3 linked regions of the Arabidopsis thaliana genome follow. The protein of the gene in region 1 interacts with the protein of each later gene in a pairwise test. Each region holds a gene or a part of one and is shown in the gene's direction. Other genes may lie near its edges.

Region 1 (3,523 bases):
CGGAAGTTTTCCTTTCTCTGTGAAAGTTAGGAGGCATGTTTTGTTGGTAACATAGGCGGTGCAAAGTGATGCTCAAAGTTCAAACAAATCACTGTAAGTACAATCTCTAGTTAAATACATTTTACTACTAACGGGTTATTGGCTTAGATTGTTTTGCAGGATGAATCATTGACTGTTTCAGGATAGAAAAGCACAAGCGATCCAAGATATTTTTGCATAATGATTCAAGGGAGAATTTGATTCAAAGTTCAGTGCACATGAAATGAATCAAAGGGCTAGCGAGGAATCGATCTGCAGAGGTTAAAAAAGGATCCAGGCTGTGAAGGAAACAAGTGAAGCAAACATGAGTTTTTTGTTGACACAAGTCTGTGTTAAAGTTGGTTCACAACTCAAGAAGTGATACTAGAACGTCGATGGTTCGGGAACGTCGGTGTGATTCACATCACAGCTATTTTTTTTCCATCGAAGATATGTTCACTAATGGTTGTTGAAGTGTGAAGATTGGAGTTGTCAAGGTTAGAGCAAGTTTAAAGGGTTCTAAGGAGCAGCTGCGAGGAAGTCTTCAAGTAGAATCAAGACATGTTGATTTTAAGATGCATTGAGGAAACAATTTTTCAAGGAAGCATTGAAGTTGAACGGTGAAGTTCAAGATGAGCGGTGAAGCTCAAGTACCGGAGATGGAATCCAAGAAGCTAGATAAGGAGCGTGAAGAAGATCGATGACAAGGTGGAGATTTGAAGGTTTAGTGTCATCCGATCTCAAGATATATGCTAAAGTGTGATAAGTATCTGAAGCAATCAGAGGGTTTGACCCAAGCTTCCTTCATTGGCTCACGTGAGAAGCACACACGTGAGATTAGTAATAAGTCACAACTAGAAGGGTAAAAGGGTCTTTTATCATTGGCTCTGTATCTTCTTCTTCTCTACTCTTCTTTGAGTATGTAACAGAATGAAACAGATAAGAGAAGCGTGACAACGAGACTACGCAAGTCGACGAGAGACGTGAGCTTAGAGTTAGAGGTAGAGAGAGTAACTGGTTTTGTGTTGGTGAGTGAGAGAAAGCTTGAGAGTGACTGTAATCCGGTGAGCGATTGTAACGGTCACTTGTATGAGCTCGAGTTTGAGCTATGATCTAGTGGATTCCGGAGTCAATCTCCGGCGAGACGTAGGGTTCCACACCGGAACCTGAACTCGTAAAATCTCGGTGTTCTTTGTTTGCGTTTTTTCTATTTTCTTTCAAATCCCTAAACTAAGTCGCAAGTTCTAATCGGAAATTATAGATTAGGCTTCACAATAATCTTGTAAAGTTTCTTAAACAATCTCTCTATTTTGATAATATTTTTCATTACTTTTTATGACTTTATTTTGTAAACAAAAATATAGAAAGTCATGAACCAATAACATAATAATTTAAATCATTAACAATAAGAGATTCTTTTGTTTTAATTGAATACCACAAAACTCTTACTGACTTTATAAGAATATGAATCCAATAACCCCAAATTTATGAAGATTTTAGATTACTTTTTACAAATCTTAAATGAATAACACAAAACATTAACATAGTTTTATATTATCTTGATTGAATAACAACATATTTTACATGACATTTTAAGTCAATAAAACTCCTTTGAAATCATAAACCAATAATATCCCCTAAAACTTAACTATTACTTTTGTTGAAAGAGAAAACATGTTCAATTAATAATGAATCTATTATACTCATGAAAATATTGTGTATATATATTCTAACATATAATTCACTGATTAACATATTACCCATATTTCTAATGAATGTAATTAAAGTTTATGTGCCACAATAGTTTGGTCAAAAAGAAAAACTATTTATTGTCTTAAGTAAAAAAAAAATCTTACAGAATCTTATAGAGTTAAATTTGCAAGCTCACAACTACATGAGCCAAAAAAATGTCAAATACTTAAATGACATTTACTTCAAAACTTTTTGATGTTAAGTCAGCCTGTCAAAATTTATTTCACTTTAACACGTGTTAGAATTCAATAACTACAAAACTATATATGTCATAATATTATGAAACTATATATCAAACAAAATTAGTGTTATTTGGGTAAGACAAAACATATTCAATTAATTAATTTTAATCTAACTTGAAAACATAGTATCTCTCTATTGGTATAAGCTCTTAATTACAATTAACCACGTACATAAGTACAACTTATTGTCACTATATATACCCTTAACACAAACAAATATTTTTATACAAACCTTGCATAAGCCTTTACGGAGTAAGGAACATTGAAACCCGATTTTTCATATATCTTTCTGTTCTAACTCATGGCGAATTTTCCAGATAAGCAGTATGACTCAAACAACCCATATAACATCATGATAACGTTGTCACCATTTGACGTCGATAGGAGTACTACGATAATGATGCCAAAAGCGTTACTAGAAACCAATTTATTTCCTTTCATGGAGATAAGTACTCTCGTCCAGTTGTTACAAGTTCAAGACAAGCCAAAGATGATTGGAGTGTATGATATTGATACTCAAATTACAACATATGTAATCATAAGACAAGATGGAAATAATTTTAAATTTCATGGATGGAATGATATTCTAAAAAGAAAACATTACAAAGCAGGCGATACTATTGCATTTTGGTGGGATCTTCGTCATACTAGACTAAATTTCAAACATGTTGCTTAATTGATGGAGCGAATCTTCACAACTTCATTTCTCGGATATGCATCTATACCGGGTTTGTCTGATCGAGTCCAGTTTGTTGTCGTTTTATTATGTTGGTTTAATTCCTGTTTCTAGAGAACATGTTTTTCTCTTATATTTATAAATATATATATTTGGATTTATAAGATAATATATGTAAATAATAAAAGAGTCGAGAGAAACAATTTCTCCAAATTTTTTATCTATACATTCAAATTTAATATAATATTTTGATAGTAAATCATAAAAAGGAATTGTTTGTGGTAGAATCATTTGTGTAACAGTTCTCATAATTTGCAATAAATAATAAATCAAGACAGCAAAACAAAAATTAATATGTATTAAAATTTAATTTATTTTAACACGCGTTAATCTAACTAATACAATTTCTATGTGCCTAAATATTTTGGCTTTTAAAAAGGTTATATGCATGTTGTAACAAATCTGATGACATTTCTGAATTATACATAATCGGCATCTAATTTATATTTTTTTTATCAGTTGCTATAATAACTAACTAGATTTTGACCCGCGGTATACCGCGGGGCTAGGTTTTTAATAAAATTTGTTATATAAAATGTATATGTAGATATTTGTTTTATTAATATTGTTTGCTTTGTTTAGTGTTTAAGATAATGTATATATAGATTTTAATTGTTATATCTAGGATTTCATCCGTAGTATATCGTTTTGTATTATTATCGATCAAAACCCGTCATACCATCTAATCATGCACAGTGAAATTAAACATATCTAATGGATTTCACTTGTAGTATACCATCTCGTAATACTGTCGACCAAACCCGTCCTACCACTA
Region 2 (4,756 bases), on another chromosome or scaffold:
GTGAAATCCTAGAATTGACGGGCTTGATTCGATATTAATATGGGATGGTGTACTACGGGTGATATTTTAGAATTGACTGGTTTGGGTTGATAATAATTTGCGATAGAATTAGGAGTGAAATCCTACGATGACAATTAAAATATAATTATACAATTAAATACTACCACGGGTGAAATTCTAGAATTGACGGGTTTGATTCGATATTAATATGGGATGGTGTACTACGGGTGAAATCCGAGAAACAACAATCAAAATACAATTATACAATATTAAACATTTAACAAAATAAACAAATACAACTTAAAACTTTAAAATTTGAGTTATAAAATTTCGTCTCGCGGTGAATTATACATTTAAATCAAACAATAGCATAAATTTATTAAATCATCCTAAAAATTATTCAATTATTTTTTATTTAATAAAAATATAGGCTCGCGGTATACCGCGGGTTAATATCTAGTCATAGATAGAAATGTTAAGCCGGGACAATTCCTTCTTAAATACCAAACAAAAAGTTTAAAATAAAAACGCATATATATATATCATCATTCTCAGATATTTATGAGCGGCTAAAGTCAAAACACTAAGACTAGAGGTTTTATTGATTTGGGGTTAGGAGTGTGTATAGAGTGAATGATTTTCAATCATGTAATCCCAATTCATAATGGTTGCATTGAAATTATTTTTGTTATATGCATAATTTAAAGAATAAGGAAATTGATATTAATTACTTCCTTTTCAAACCAGAGCATGATTAATAAATCACGTTTATTTGTCAATGCGCTGGTTCATATCTGATTTTTTACCACCGCCAAATTTGGAGTCCATTAACGTTTTTATTTTTTTATTTCTAGTAAATGTTAATTTGCTAAGACCCATTCAAACCCTTCGCTTCTTTGTTGCCCTCACCCTTCTACGTAAAGAACTTAACCGTTTAACCAATACTATTCGGCTACGTGTGTTCCACTTCACCTCTCTTTCCGAACATTCTTGGCATTGTTTTCAACAGCCGCGTTCAAAATGACAAATATAACCCTTTACTACTACCATTACTAGTCTACTGTACTACTAGTAGTTGACTCCCAAAGAATTACATAAAAACCATGCGCAAACGGAGGGGCTCCACAATTTTCCAATGTCCAATTCTCACAAAGTCAAGTCTAAAACTGTATACAGTATACATTCCTCTTTTATGACCCGATGACCTTTCAAACACATATGATCTCTTGCTTAAAGCATGCTTTATATAAGATCAATTGCATGTCTTTTTCATCTAAAAATCTTAATCTCTATTCATCTCTAACATCCTCTACATATATAACCTTTTGGTTTTGGCTGAAAAAAAGGCAGGAATTGTATCCAATTAACATTAAGTTATATACTTGATCGGGTCATCGCTTCACCAACGTAACTAGCTTTATAGGTAAAAATACATACATATCGTATTGTAGGCGTGAGATCAAGTGTGAGAGAGAAATATGTAGTTGTTTTGTCAAACACAGAGATCAGAGTGCTGACCCTAGAATTAACGACAAACAGACAAAACAAGTTTTACATCAGCACATTTGACACATAACGTCAGATTGTAATTGAAAATGTAGCACTACAACCGCGCGTACCATCGAGCTTCAGTATTTCCAATAGTCATTCTTTTCATAATTTGGAGTGTTTTAAATACATATATAAAGAGGAAACGAATATATGATATAAAATAAAGAATACAGGATTGTTGAAGGAGACATCATTTTGAGCATGAAGTAACACAAAAACAAAATGATGATAATCACAGCTTCTCTCTCCCGTTTCTCTCAAAACGGAGCCACCCACCTTTTTTTTTAATCTCCTTTTCATATGTCTCCATTCTAAGTTGTAACATAATCATTACTTCGTTTCATATATATATATATATATTAATTTGTAGATTCATATCTTCTAACATATATTTTTGTGTATCTTGTATATAAATGTGCATATATGTACAGAAAGAGTGATGGTGAATTACGCCAACGCGAAATGAACATATGATTACACTCTGAAGTCTAAACACACATGTCATCGTTCAAGTGGACGGTCCATATCTCTCTTTTCCTATACCTAACCAACATCTTCAATAAGACTCTCGTTCTATTGTTTTTCCCTTGATAGAGTCGGTTGATCGGGTTTCTTCTATGATCGATCTTTCTAAGATCAAGAAGAAACCGCAGCGAAATAAATCCTAGAAAATAACTATCAATATGATGAAGGTTGATCAAGATTATTCGTGTAGTATACCGCCTGGATTTAGGTTTCATCCGACAGATGAAGAACTTGTCGGATATTATCTCAAGAAGAAAATCGCCTCCCAGAGGATTGATCTCGACGTTATCAGAGAAATTGATCTTTACAAGATCGAACCATGGGATCTACAAGGTATATTATATATCTATCTCTCTCTATCTGTCTCTCTTATATCTTCTCGATACCAATGTTTATTCATGTGATCAATCGTTCATATAATATAATTGGTTCCGTCTTTTATATGTGCAATTTATGAATTATGTGCCCGAGTGACCCTACATATAAGGCTACATCTAGAGAGGTCAAGTTTTAGAAGTTAGGGTTAATTTATGAATTATGATTTAAACGATACCACCTACACATGTAAGCAACTATACTGTGTAGCTCGAAAGAGTAATATGTAACCTAAATGTGATACGTGTAGAGAGATGTAGGATAGGGTACGAGGAGCAAACGGAGTGGTATTTCTTCAGCCATAGAGACAAGAAGTATCCGACTGGGACTAGGACAAACCGAGCCACCGTGGCCGGTTTCTGGAAAGCAACGGGCCGGGACAAGGCGGTTTACCTCAACTCCAAACTTATCGGTATGAGAAAAACGCTTGTCTTTTACCGAGGTCGAGCGCCTAATGGCCAAAAGTCCGATTGGATCATTCACGAATACTACAGCCTCGAGTCACACCAGAACTCTCCTCCACAGGTAATTCGGAATCTTATTCACTTATAGCGCCACACATTCTGATTGATCTAGCTAGATTAAATGGTGAAGCAGGAAGAAGGATGGGTAGTGTGTAGAGCATTTAAGAAACGAACGACCATCCCAACAAAAAGGAGGCAACTTTGGGATCCGAACTGCTTATTCTACGACGACGCCACTCTCTTGGAACCTCTCGACAAGCGAGCCAGACATAATCCTGATTTTACCGCCACACCGTTCAAGCAAGAACTACTCTCCGAGGCCAGTCACGTCCAGGATGGAGATTTCGGATCTATGTACCTTCAATGCATCGATGATGATCAATTCTCCCAGCTTCCTCAGCTCGAGAGCCCCTCTCTTCCGTCGGAAATAACTCCCCATAGTACTACTTTTTCTGAGAACAGTAGCCGGAAAGATGACATGAGCTCCGAGAAGAGGATCACTGACTGGAGATATCTAGATAAGTTCGTGGCGTCTCAATTTTTGATGAGTGGAGAAGACTAAAAAAGGCTTTCCTATGCATGCATGCACTAGAAACGTCGTCGCATTTTGGATTTACATATATGGTCGTAATAATTCACCGAAGGAATTGATTTCGATGGATAAATAGAAGGTGAGAATCGAATAAGAAGATATATATAGGGCTTTACACTTACTCAGTTTGTTTCGTATAATGTATTAGTGACTCGAAAATATACGTTCAAATTACGGTGATTTATATTTTTATATATTTAATAAAGAAGTGGGCTCAAGGTGGGCCCAATAAAATGGGCTTTTGTCTACCATGCGTGGTGAAGCATGGCTTTGTGTTACTCATGCTTTGTCTCCTAGTCCTACCCATTGAATATCCAACGAGCTGGCGTTTTTTGTTTTAACACATTGTCGTCACTGGGGGTTTAAAACGGCACGCTGTTGTCTTGCACATGCGCGAAACGTCATATTGCGGTCTCCTCCTCCTTCTCCTTGGCGGAGTTGAGAAAACCTTGCTACGAGCGTTTCCAGATTTCTCCCAAAACGGAACTGCTGATTCCTTGAATAAAATTCCCTAATCGGAGTCTGTGAAGCAAATGGGAGCATCAGATTCAACTCTGCTAGGCTCTCAGGTAACTGATATATCGCGATTTGATTCTCCAGGCATCTTCCTGGGTCTATTATATATGCGAGATTGATTTATTCAATTTTTGATGGATTCTCAGGAAAATCGAGGTGATGTGATTACGACTATATCTCATCGATCAGAAATAGTCGATCCCATTCTCGAGAATCTTAAAGCTCTCACAGTAGTGAGTTACTACTACTCCTCTTTTGTCTTTCCCTTTTCAATGTTTTTTCGATTGAACATGTTTGCTCTTGCTTAAAAATATGATAATTGCAGAGTAGGCCAATATTGAAGTCTCCTCCCACGGAAAGTAGCTTAACAGATATCTTAGTGAGAAAAGCTCTATCCAGTTCCTCTTCCAGTGAGTTTTATACCTATCTGATTAGTTTGCTCAACTGAGTTTAGGAAGAGGACTTGCTGTTTTTATGTAACATGTTCAAAATGATTGATCGTTTGTTGTGTGGAAGACAATTTATTCATAGAAGAAGACATATCTTTGGACTTTTTTTGTTTTTGCTAATGTATTCGTTTACTGTTAAAGCTTCATAATGAAAAGATATTTTCATTCATCTACAAGTCTCCTTTTTTCAACTCTAATTTTTTGCCTTTGTTGTCAACTGTTTCCCAGATACGGTTGATCCTCAAATACTTGTAGAGCTCTTCTCCATTTACCGAGAATGGCAA
Region 3 (7,985 bases), on another chromosome or scaffold:
TTCAGAGGCGAGTTTGAAAACTAGGAAAGCTTCTTCTGTTGAGAACTTTCCCTTGAGATTTGGATTCATCAGCTCAGTAACAAACTTTCCGTTTCTCCTCACAGGAGCCTAAAAATAGGAGGATAACAACTCAGTAATATGTGTCTTGTGTGGCAAGAAATTAAGGATTACTATATCACAACTAATTTACTCAGCAGAAATGTGACTTGTGTTGCAAGGAATTGAAAAAGACAGATTCTCTAAGGATTAAAGTCACAAAGTCAAGATGAATGGCTTACATGGTTTGAAACAGAATGGCTTACATGGCTTGGAGGAATTCGCTTTCCAGTTAGCAGATTCACAATGATATTTAGTACCAAATCAATGTCACACTTTTAGGGTTCACGATTCCTACAATAAGAATATATTATATAACATCACATTCAGATATGAATAGTATGAAGAGACAAGCAAGAACTGATTACCTCTTGTTCTTTGACTTCAACATATCCATTAAGCAAATAAAAACAGTTAAGCATACTTAATTAGATCATTAAGAAGGCATAAGCTTGAAAATGTTGTTTCGTATACCTTATCAAACAGAACCGAGTAAGCACTTAAGTTACCGTACGATAAAACATGTATTATTCCAATAATCCAATGCTTCTATTCGATTGTACGGGAAATTATTATATGTATCTTTGAAAACGCCTTGTATGCACCAAGATAAGGACATAAAATTTAGTTAAATCACACCGTTTTCATTACAAAAATGTGATATCATCTTATCATGGGCATATATATATATTTTACAGGTTTTTTTTTGCTCACACAAAAATTGTTCATACAATCAGTAATTACTTTACCTCAGGGTTTGGTCTCCTAGCTTTTGTACCCATCATACTCAATCACGAGATGGTTTGACATCACACGACTTACGCTATACATAACGATTAATGAACATAATTTAGTTTTTCTTTCTTTTGTCTCGGATCGATCAATGATATTGATCTTATATGATATCAAAATCTTATAGTACTGGCAGTGAGATTAAAAACACTAATTTTAAACGACATTATTGTTACATGTGTAGATAGGACCTGCCGTATTCAGACGAATAACAAATGACAAATCTAAGAAATAGAGGAAGAGAGAGAGAGAGAAAGAGACGTCGTGCGCATTTATAGTATAAAGTATAAACCTTTGATTATTATTGATACGTTATTTATGATTTACACGAGGATTCAACTATTTTCAAAGAGTTTGATGACCTTTGGTTTGGTCATGTCATTGTCCCGGACGCGGCTAATGGGGATCGGACTATGGCTCCCCAAATCATTGAGGGCCGTTTTGATCATTTAACTAAGCGTCTAAGCCCGACCCGTTGGATATCAATGTACATATTAATATATTATATACACAAATATTCAAGTTTAATCATTAAATTTGGTTGAATGATGAAACCTAAGATGAATGATTTGTTTCTTCTGTTCGCTTTTTTTTTTTGGGTTTGTTTTTATATCGATTTAGATAATGTGTAACATTGGGAAGTTCACAACCTGTCTAGTTAGCACCCAACTTATGACAGTAATTTTTGTCATGAAATTAATAAAATGACGACATTTTGGAACATAAATAGCAATTTCATGTGTAAGAATAAATATTACCATAATTGTGTGAATCATTATGCCTTTAATGCAATTATTTATATATCGATCATATATAGATTCCATCCTATATACAAAATGTTTTAAACTTTGAGACTCGAGCTGATGTCAGAAAGAATATTCATATAAGAGAAATCGAAAATAAAGTATTAAAGGTCAAACTATATTGATGAACGAACGAACCTGTTCAACACGAAAGACATGTCTTCTCTAAGAAATGATCTTGATCCGATTGATACAGCCAAGTTCTAACCAATGAAACATCCCCGAATAAAAAAACACAAAGTACCGACGAAGAAATAAAACAAAGTGTACGCATACGTAATCACCACAACTGTTATAGTAATAATAATAATAATCTTATACGAATTAATTATGATTAGGGGCAACAAAGAGGAGGTCAGAATAACACCAATCACACGATTAAATAAGAACATTTAACCATCAGGCTCCAAACCAAAACTTAGAAACTTGTTTTTTTTTTTTGTTTCCTTCTTTGATCTTTCTTTCAGAAGAAAAGATTGATTTAAATTTGAGAAACCAAGCGACTGTTTGTTTACTTTCTTTATTATTACAGATTTACAGGTACAGACAAAGTTGTATGTAAGTGTGATTAGAACAGTGGATGCTCTTATCACGGGTCCACTTGCTCTCTAAAAAGAATATTGAAGCTCATAATTACATCTTTAGAGACTAAAACAATCTTAATCATTCACCTTCACCAAGTACTTGTGTCCAGAAGAAAAAGAAGGAAAAAAAGAACACACCATTCAAGAAAGAGAGAAGCTTCTTGTGATAAGAAATTTCACAGGTTTTGTTTTTGTTTTGTTTATATATATTCTCAGATTTGATTTTGCTTACCATTATATGTATGAAGAAATAGAGAGACCAATTACTTTTTACATTAGACAGAGTAAAATCCAGTCTGTGCATCTTCTCAATGTTTTTTTTTTGTTTGTTGGTGCTTTCTCTAAGTGTTCTTGGGTATAGGTCCCAAAGTGAAGCTTTTTCTGTTTCTTTGTGCAAACAAATCTTGATAAAGTTAGTAACTTTTGGTGAAAATCTTACCCTTTCATGGACAATCAGATTTGATTTCGTTTCCATGTCCATAGGTGAGAATTTTGTAATTGAAATTGATGGCACTCTACTTTGATTGATGGATACCTTCTTAAGTCAACTCTTCATTGAAAGCGAAGCTACTTATATAGATTATATAGCATCTCTATGATATGATTCTTCTCTTGTCTTATTCTTGGGTGGGTCTTTGACAATGTTTCTGCAACTTTTTCAGATTGGGTTTTAACATTCCAAGGAGAGGACTTTGTCTTGTCTCTATTCATCTTCAAGACCCTTATGAGTTTCGGTTCTTGAGTAAACAACAGCTAAGCACAGTCTCTGAGAACTTGAGGATTTGGTAGTATCTGTTGGAGGTATAAAAACGAATCTTTAGACATGGAAGATGATGGTGGTAGTGATGGAGGCGAAGGAAATGGTGGGTTTTCACCTAATTCTAGCTTTGGGGCATTCGCTGACACTGCCATGGATTTGGATTTCATGGATGAACTCTTGTTTGATGGATGTTGGCTAGAGACAACAGATAGTAAGAGCTTGAAGCAGACAGAACAATCTCCTTCAGCTTCTACCGCCATGAATGACAATAGCCCTTTCCTCTGCTTTGGTGAGAATCCATCTCAAGATAATTTCTCTAATGAAGAAACAGAGAGAATGTTTCCTCAGGCTGAAAAGTTTCTCCTAGAAGAAGCTGAGGTGGGAAAAAGTTGGTGGATTGCTCCAAGTGCAAGTGAAGGCCCGTCTTCATCTGTGAAGGAGAGGCTACTACAAGCTATTAGTGGTCTTAACGAGGCGGTGCAAGATAAGGACTTCTTGGTTCAGATATGGGTGCCAATTCAGCAGGAAGGGAAGAGCTTTCTTACTACTTGGGCTCAGCCACATTTATTCAACCAAGAATACTCCAGCCTTGCAGAATACAGACATGTTTCAGAGACTTATAATTTCCCGGCTGATGAGGGTATGAAAGATTTTGTGGGTCTTCCCGGTCGTGTTTTCTTGCAGAAGTTTCCTGAGTGGACTCCTGATGTGCGTTTCTTTAGAAGAGATGAATATCCACGCATCAAAGAAGCACAAAAGTGTGATGTTCGTGGTTCACTTGCCCTTCCTGTTTTCGAAAGAGGTAGTGGGACTTGTTTGGGTGTTGTTGAGATCGTCACAACAACTCAGAAGATGAATTACCGGCAAGAACTTGAGAAGATGTGTAAAGCTCTTGAGGTTTTGCCTCTACCTCAAACTACTCTATAGATCCCGCAACGCTTACCTCACATGTTTAGACCCATACAACCAGTAAACCTCATGCTTGAATGTATCTTTCACTGGATGGCTTTCTCTGTTTGCTCATTATTCAATTCCTCACATTTGTCCAGTTTGTTTTTTGGTTTTCTTTAGAGTCCAACAACATCTTCTGCATACGTTTGTACTTTGATTGTTCTACATCTTTCTTTCTGCATCATGTCTCCTCCTGTCAGTCATTCAGCCATAATCTTCTTTGATTAATGTCTGTGATAACAGTGAGAAGTTTTGTTTATGTGCCACAACAGTCTAAAGACGCTGCTGTTTTGCAGGCCGTCGATCTAAGGAGTTCAAGTAACTTGAACACTCCAAGCTCTGAGGTGCATTAACTGGATTCTTAGTTCATTCAGCTCCTAGAAACAACGATATGCATTGCTAAGGTCATACTCCATGTTTCAGTTTCTGCAGGTCTATAGTGATTTCTACTGTGCTGCATTACCTGAAATAAAAGATTTCCTGGCCACAATCTGCAGATCATATGATTTTCCTCTAGCTTTGTCATGGGCGCCGTGTGCTCGGCAAGGGAAAGTTGGTTCCCGACATTCTGATGAGAACTTCTCTGAGTGTGTTTCAACAATCGATTCTGCTTGTTCTGTCCCCGACGAACAGAGCAAAAGTTTTTGGGAGGCATGCTCTGAACACCATCTGCTCCAGGGGGAAGGCATTGTTGGGAAAGCATTTGAAGCCACCAAACTCTTTTTTGTGCCCGAAGTGGCCACATTTAGCAAGACTAACTACCCCCTTGCACACCACGCCAAGATATCTGGACTACATGCTGCTTTAGCAGTTCCATTAAAGAGCAAATCTGGTTTGGTTGAGTTTGTGTTGGAATTTTTCTTTCCGAAAGCATGCCTTGACACTGAAGCGCAACAGGAAATGCTCAAGTCACTATGTGTGACACTGCAGCAAGATTTCAGGAGTTCAAATCTTTTCATCAAAGACCTAGAGTTAGAAGTCGTATTACCTGTAAGAGAGACAATGCTCTTCTCAGAAAACCTGCTATGTGGAGCAGAAACCGTAGAGTCGTTGACAGAAATTCAAATGCAAGAATCCTCATGGATCGCCCACATGATAAAGGCAAACGAGAAGGGTAAAGATGTATCACTTTCTTGGGAGTACCAGAAAGAAGATCCTAAAGAGCTCTCATCTGGCCGGGAGAACAGTCAGCTTGATCCAGTCCCCAATAATGTTCCTTTAGAAGCTGAGCAATTACAGCAAGCATCAACTCCAGGACTCAGAGTCGACATCGGTCCAAGCACAGAATCAGCTTCGACTGGTGGGGGAAATATGTTAAGCAGTAGGAGACCAGGGGAGAAAAAAAGAGCAAAAACAGAAAAGACCATTGGCTTGGAGGTTCTTCGACAATACTTTGCTGGAAGCCTCAAGGATGCAGCCAAGAGCATTGGTGGTAAGAGAATGTTGTACACTGCTGGTGACATAGCCCCATTCTTTATGAATTTTGATTCTTATTGTTTCTTGGGAAAAGCATAACCATTACGTTCATTAGTCAAAACCCAAAACATTCCAAATGAATATGTTGAACAAAAATTCATGCCTCAGGATATGTGAAAACTCCATGGCCAATATACATAAATATCAATGAAACCAGAAGTCAGTCTTACATTATATCTATGTGGTAGTGGATCAATCATCATGCTCTACAAACATTTTCATCATGGCTATTTATCTGTCTCTCAGACAGTGATCTGACAAGGTTTCGTTCTTGTGTTGCAGTTTGTCCAACTACCTTGAAAAGGATATGCAGGCAACATGGAATAATGCGATGGCCCTCCCGAAAAATCAAGAAGGTTGGGCATTCGTTGAAGAAACTCCAACTAGTTATGGACTCTGTCCAAGGTGCGCAGGGCTCTATCCAACTCGATTCATTCTATACAAGCTTCCCAGAGTTGAACTCCCCAAATATGTCTAGCAATGGCCCTTCCTTGAAGAGTAATGAACAGCCAAGTCATTTGAATGCTCAAACCGATAATGGTATTATGGCAGAGGAAAACCCCAGGTCACCATCATCTTCTTGCAGCAAGAGCTCTGGTTCAAGCAACAATAATGAGAATACTGGAAACATTCTAGTTGCTGAGGATGCTGATGCGGTGTTAAAGAGAGCTCATAGCGAAGCACAACTGCATAATGTGAATCAGGAGGAAACAAAATGTCTTGCAAGAACCCAGAGCCATAAAACATTCAAGGAGCCTCTTGTTCTTGATAATTCATCTCCATTAACAGGTAGTAGCAACACGAGTTTAAGAGCTAGAGGTGCCATCAAAGTGAAAGCGACATTTGGTGAGGCCAGAATACGGTTTACCTTACTCCCGAGTTGGGGCTTCGCAGAGCTGAAGCAAGAGATTGCTAGGCGTTTCAACATAGATGACATTTCCTGGTTTGACCTTAAGTACCTGGATGATGATAAGGAGTGGGTTCTTCTGACATGTGAAGCGGATCTCGTGGAATGCATTGACATATATAGATTAACACAGACCCACACAATTAAAATAAGTCTGAACGAAGCTTCTCAAGTCAAGCTAAGTGGTTCTTTTGGCAACACTGGTCTTTCCTGAAAAACATTAAACGAAGTTTTGTAACTGCAAAGCACCAGGAAGATTCTACTGATTTTTTTAGCTTTTGTAGAAATCTCACTTACCTTTTCAGCATGGGAATCCTGTATAAACATATTTCCAGTTCCCTGAACAACATTTTGGAAGTGGCAGTAGTAACTGGTCTCCTGTATTGCCCTAGCAGATTTTTGTATAAAAGAGATGAATTCCATAGACTTGTATTTTATGCATGTACAATCTTATTGTCTGGTTTCTTAAACTCTGCAAGACTGGAACTATGGCGATTGAAAAATTCTGTGTGTTTCGCTTATTTATTTTTGGGACATGTCTGGTTACAGGATACTATCTAGTCCATGATTGCATTGATGTACATGGAAAATAATGTGCCGGGATTCAAGAATATCCATTTCATGATATTGATTATGAGATTAAACATTTAAAACTGATATTGTAAAAACAGGAAAAAATAATCTGTATGGCTATGTTTAAGAAGAAACCTAGTTCCAATTAAGCAGCTAACACTTGGTGGTCTTCCACGTTTTATAAAACTTAGTCTCTTTGTATCCCCACTACAAACTCCTACTGTTCCAGAACCAGAAAATGTGCCGACAGAAAGCACAAGAAAGCTTACATTTTCTCCAATAATGTAGATTGTGTTCCTCCCACCCAAAATTCAAAGTTGGGCTCAAATTCTTTATGAAAGCAGGCAGCTCTTATGTTTAAACGTCGTTCTAACAAGGATATATTTGTCCAGCCATGTCGTCTTGTCTGGTTCTACCAGCTTAGCTACAAAGACAGGAAAACAGAAGGTGAGGGTCCAATTCTAAAATATTTTTCCACTGAACATGAAGGTTATTAAAAATAGATTGGATTCCTCAACATTATCCGTGATACTTTTACCAGAGAGTTATATTTAGCTTCGTTAGAGATCTCTCAACCTTGTACATCACAAGCTACTATAAGGCTAACATCTTACACATGAGCATGGAGACAATGATCAAAAGAGTATGCCACAAGATCATTATTTGATTATAAAATTAAATACTACTGTCCAAAGTAGGAAGAAAATGAAGAAAGTGATGTGAAGTCCTACTCTACGTTACTTTAAATTGATTTTTGATTTAACGAGAATTTTGTTTTTTTGTCCAAAAGATTAGACGTGTCTACATCAGAAGGCTGTTGTATTTCAGACGTGTCTACAACAGTATTCGTTCTTACCTTTACCTGTCATCCTTGATGAGCTGCACCTCAAAAACTTGCTTGCGCCATCTGAACTTTCCCATCAGAAAGAAAACAGAGTCATGCAAATCCTTAACCATCGTCCTCCCAGTAGTCTAAGTAGTCAACTCTTGGAGGCTGAAAGCTTGATATATCCCCTTGACCCCATCCTTTTTTAACTCTTGAC

Evidence for each region. The genes of interacting proteins can lie anywhere in the genome.
Region 2: the proteins of AT4G05630 (region 1) and NAC105 interact in a two-hybrid assay, tested with the Arabidopsis thaliana proteins (one large-scale study listed by BioGRID).
Region 3: the proteins of AT4G05630 (region 1) and AT2G17150 interact in a two-hybrid assay, tested with the Arabidopsis thaliana proteins (one large-scale study listed by BioGRID).

Annotation. Positions count from the first base shown.
Region 1 is NC_003075.7:2,987,613-2,991,135, reverse strand, and holds AT4G05630 (B3 domain protein), read left to right. Parts: upstream 1-2,313; coding exon 2,314-2,688; downstream 2,689-3,523. Other genes in the region: AT4G05631 (uncharacterized protein), read left to right, coding at 1-25, 501-566, 948-1,130.
Region 2 is NC_003076.8:26,478,726-26,483,481, reverse strand, and holds NAC105 (NAC domain containing protein 105), read left to right. Parts: upstream 1-1,953; 5' UTR 1,954-2,234; coding exon 2,235-2,409; intron 2,410-2,701; coding exon 2,702-2,976; intron 2,977-3,048; coding exon 3,049-3,477; 3' UTR 3,478-3,716; downstream 3,717-4,756. Other genes in the region: AT5G66290 (uncharacterized protein), read left to right, coding at 4,041-4,076, 4,170-4,256, 4,349-4,433, 4,701-4,756. UniProt on the Arabidopsis thaliana protein: Transcription activator that binds to the secondary wall NAC binding element (SNBE), 5'-(T/A)NN(C/T)(T/C/G)TNNNNNNNA(A/C)GN(A/C/T)(A/T)-3', in the promoter of target genes.
Region 3 is NC_003071.7:7,465,647-7,473,631, reverse strand, and holds AT2G17150 (Plant regulator RWP-RK family protein), read left to right. Parts: upstream 1-2,045; 5' UTR 2,046-2,457; exon of another isoform or gene 2,458-2,758; intron 2,759-2,937; 5' UTR 2,938-3,098; coding exon 3,099-3,932; exon of another isoform or gene 3,933-4,213; coding exon of another isoform or gene 4,214-4,282; coding exon 4,283-4,330; intron 4,331-4,409; coding exon 4,410-5,418; coding exon of another isoform or gene 5,419-5,501; exon of another isoform or gene 5,502-5,744; coding exon 5,745-6,583; 3' UTR 6,584-6,945; downstream 6,946-7,985. Other genes in the region: AT2G17160 (Interleukin-1 receptor-associated kinase 4 protein), read right to left, coding at 1-108, 846-878; AT2G17140 (Pentatricopeptide repeat (PPR) superfamily protein), read right to left, coding at 7,892-7,985. UniProt on the Arabidopsis thaliana protein: Probable transcription factor.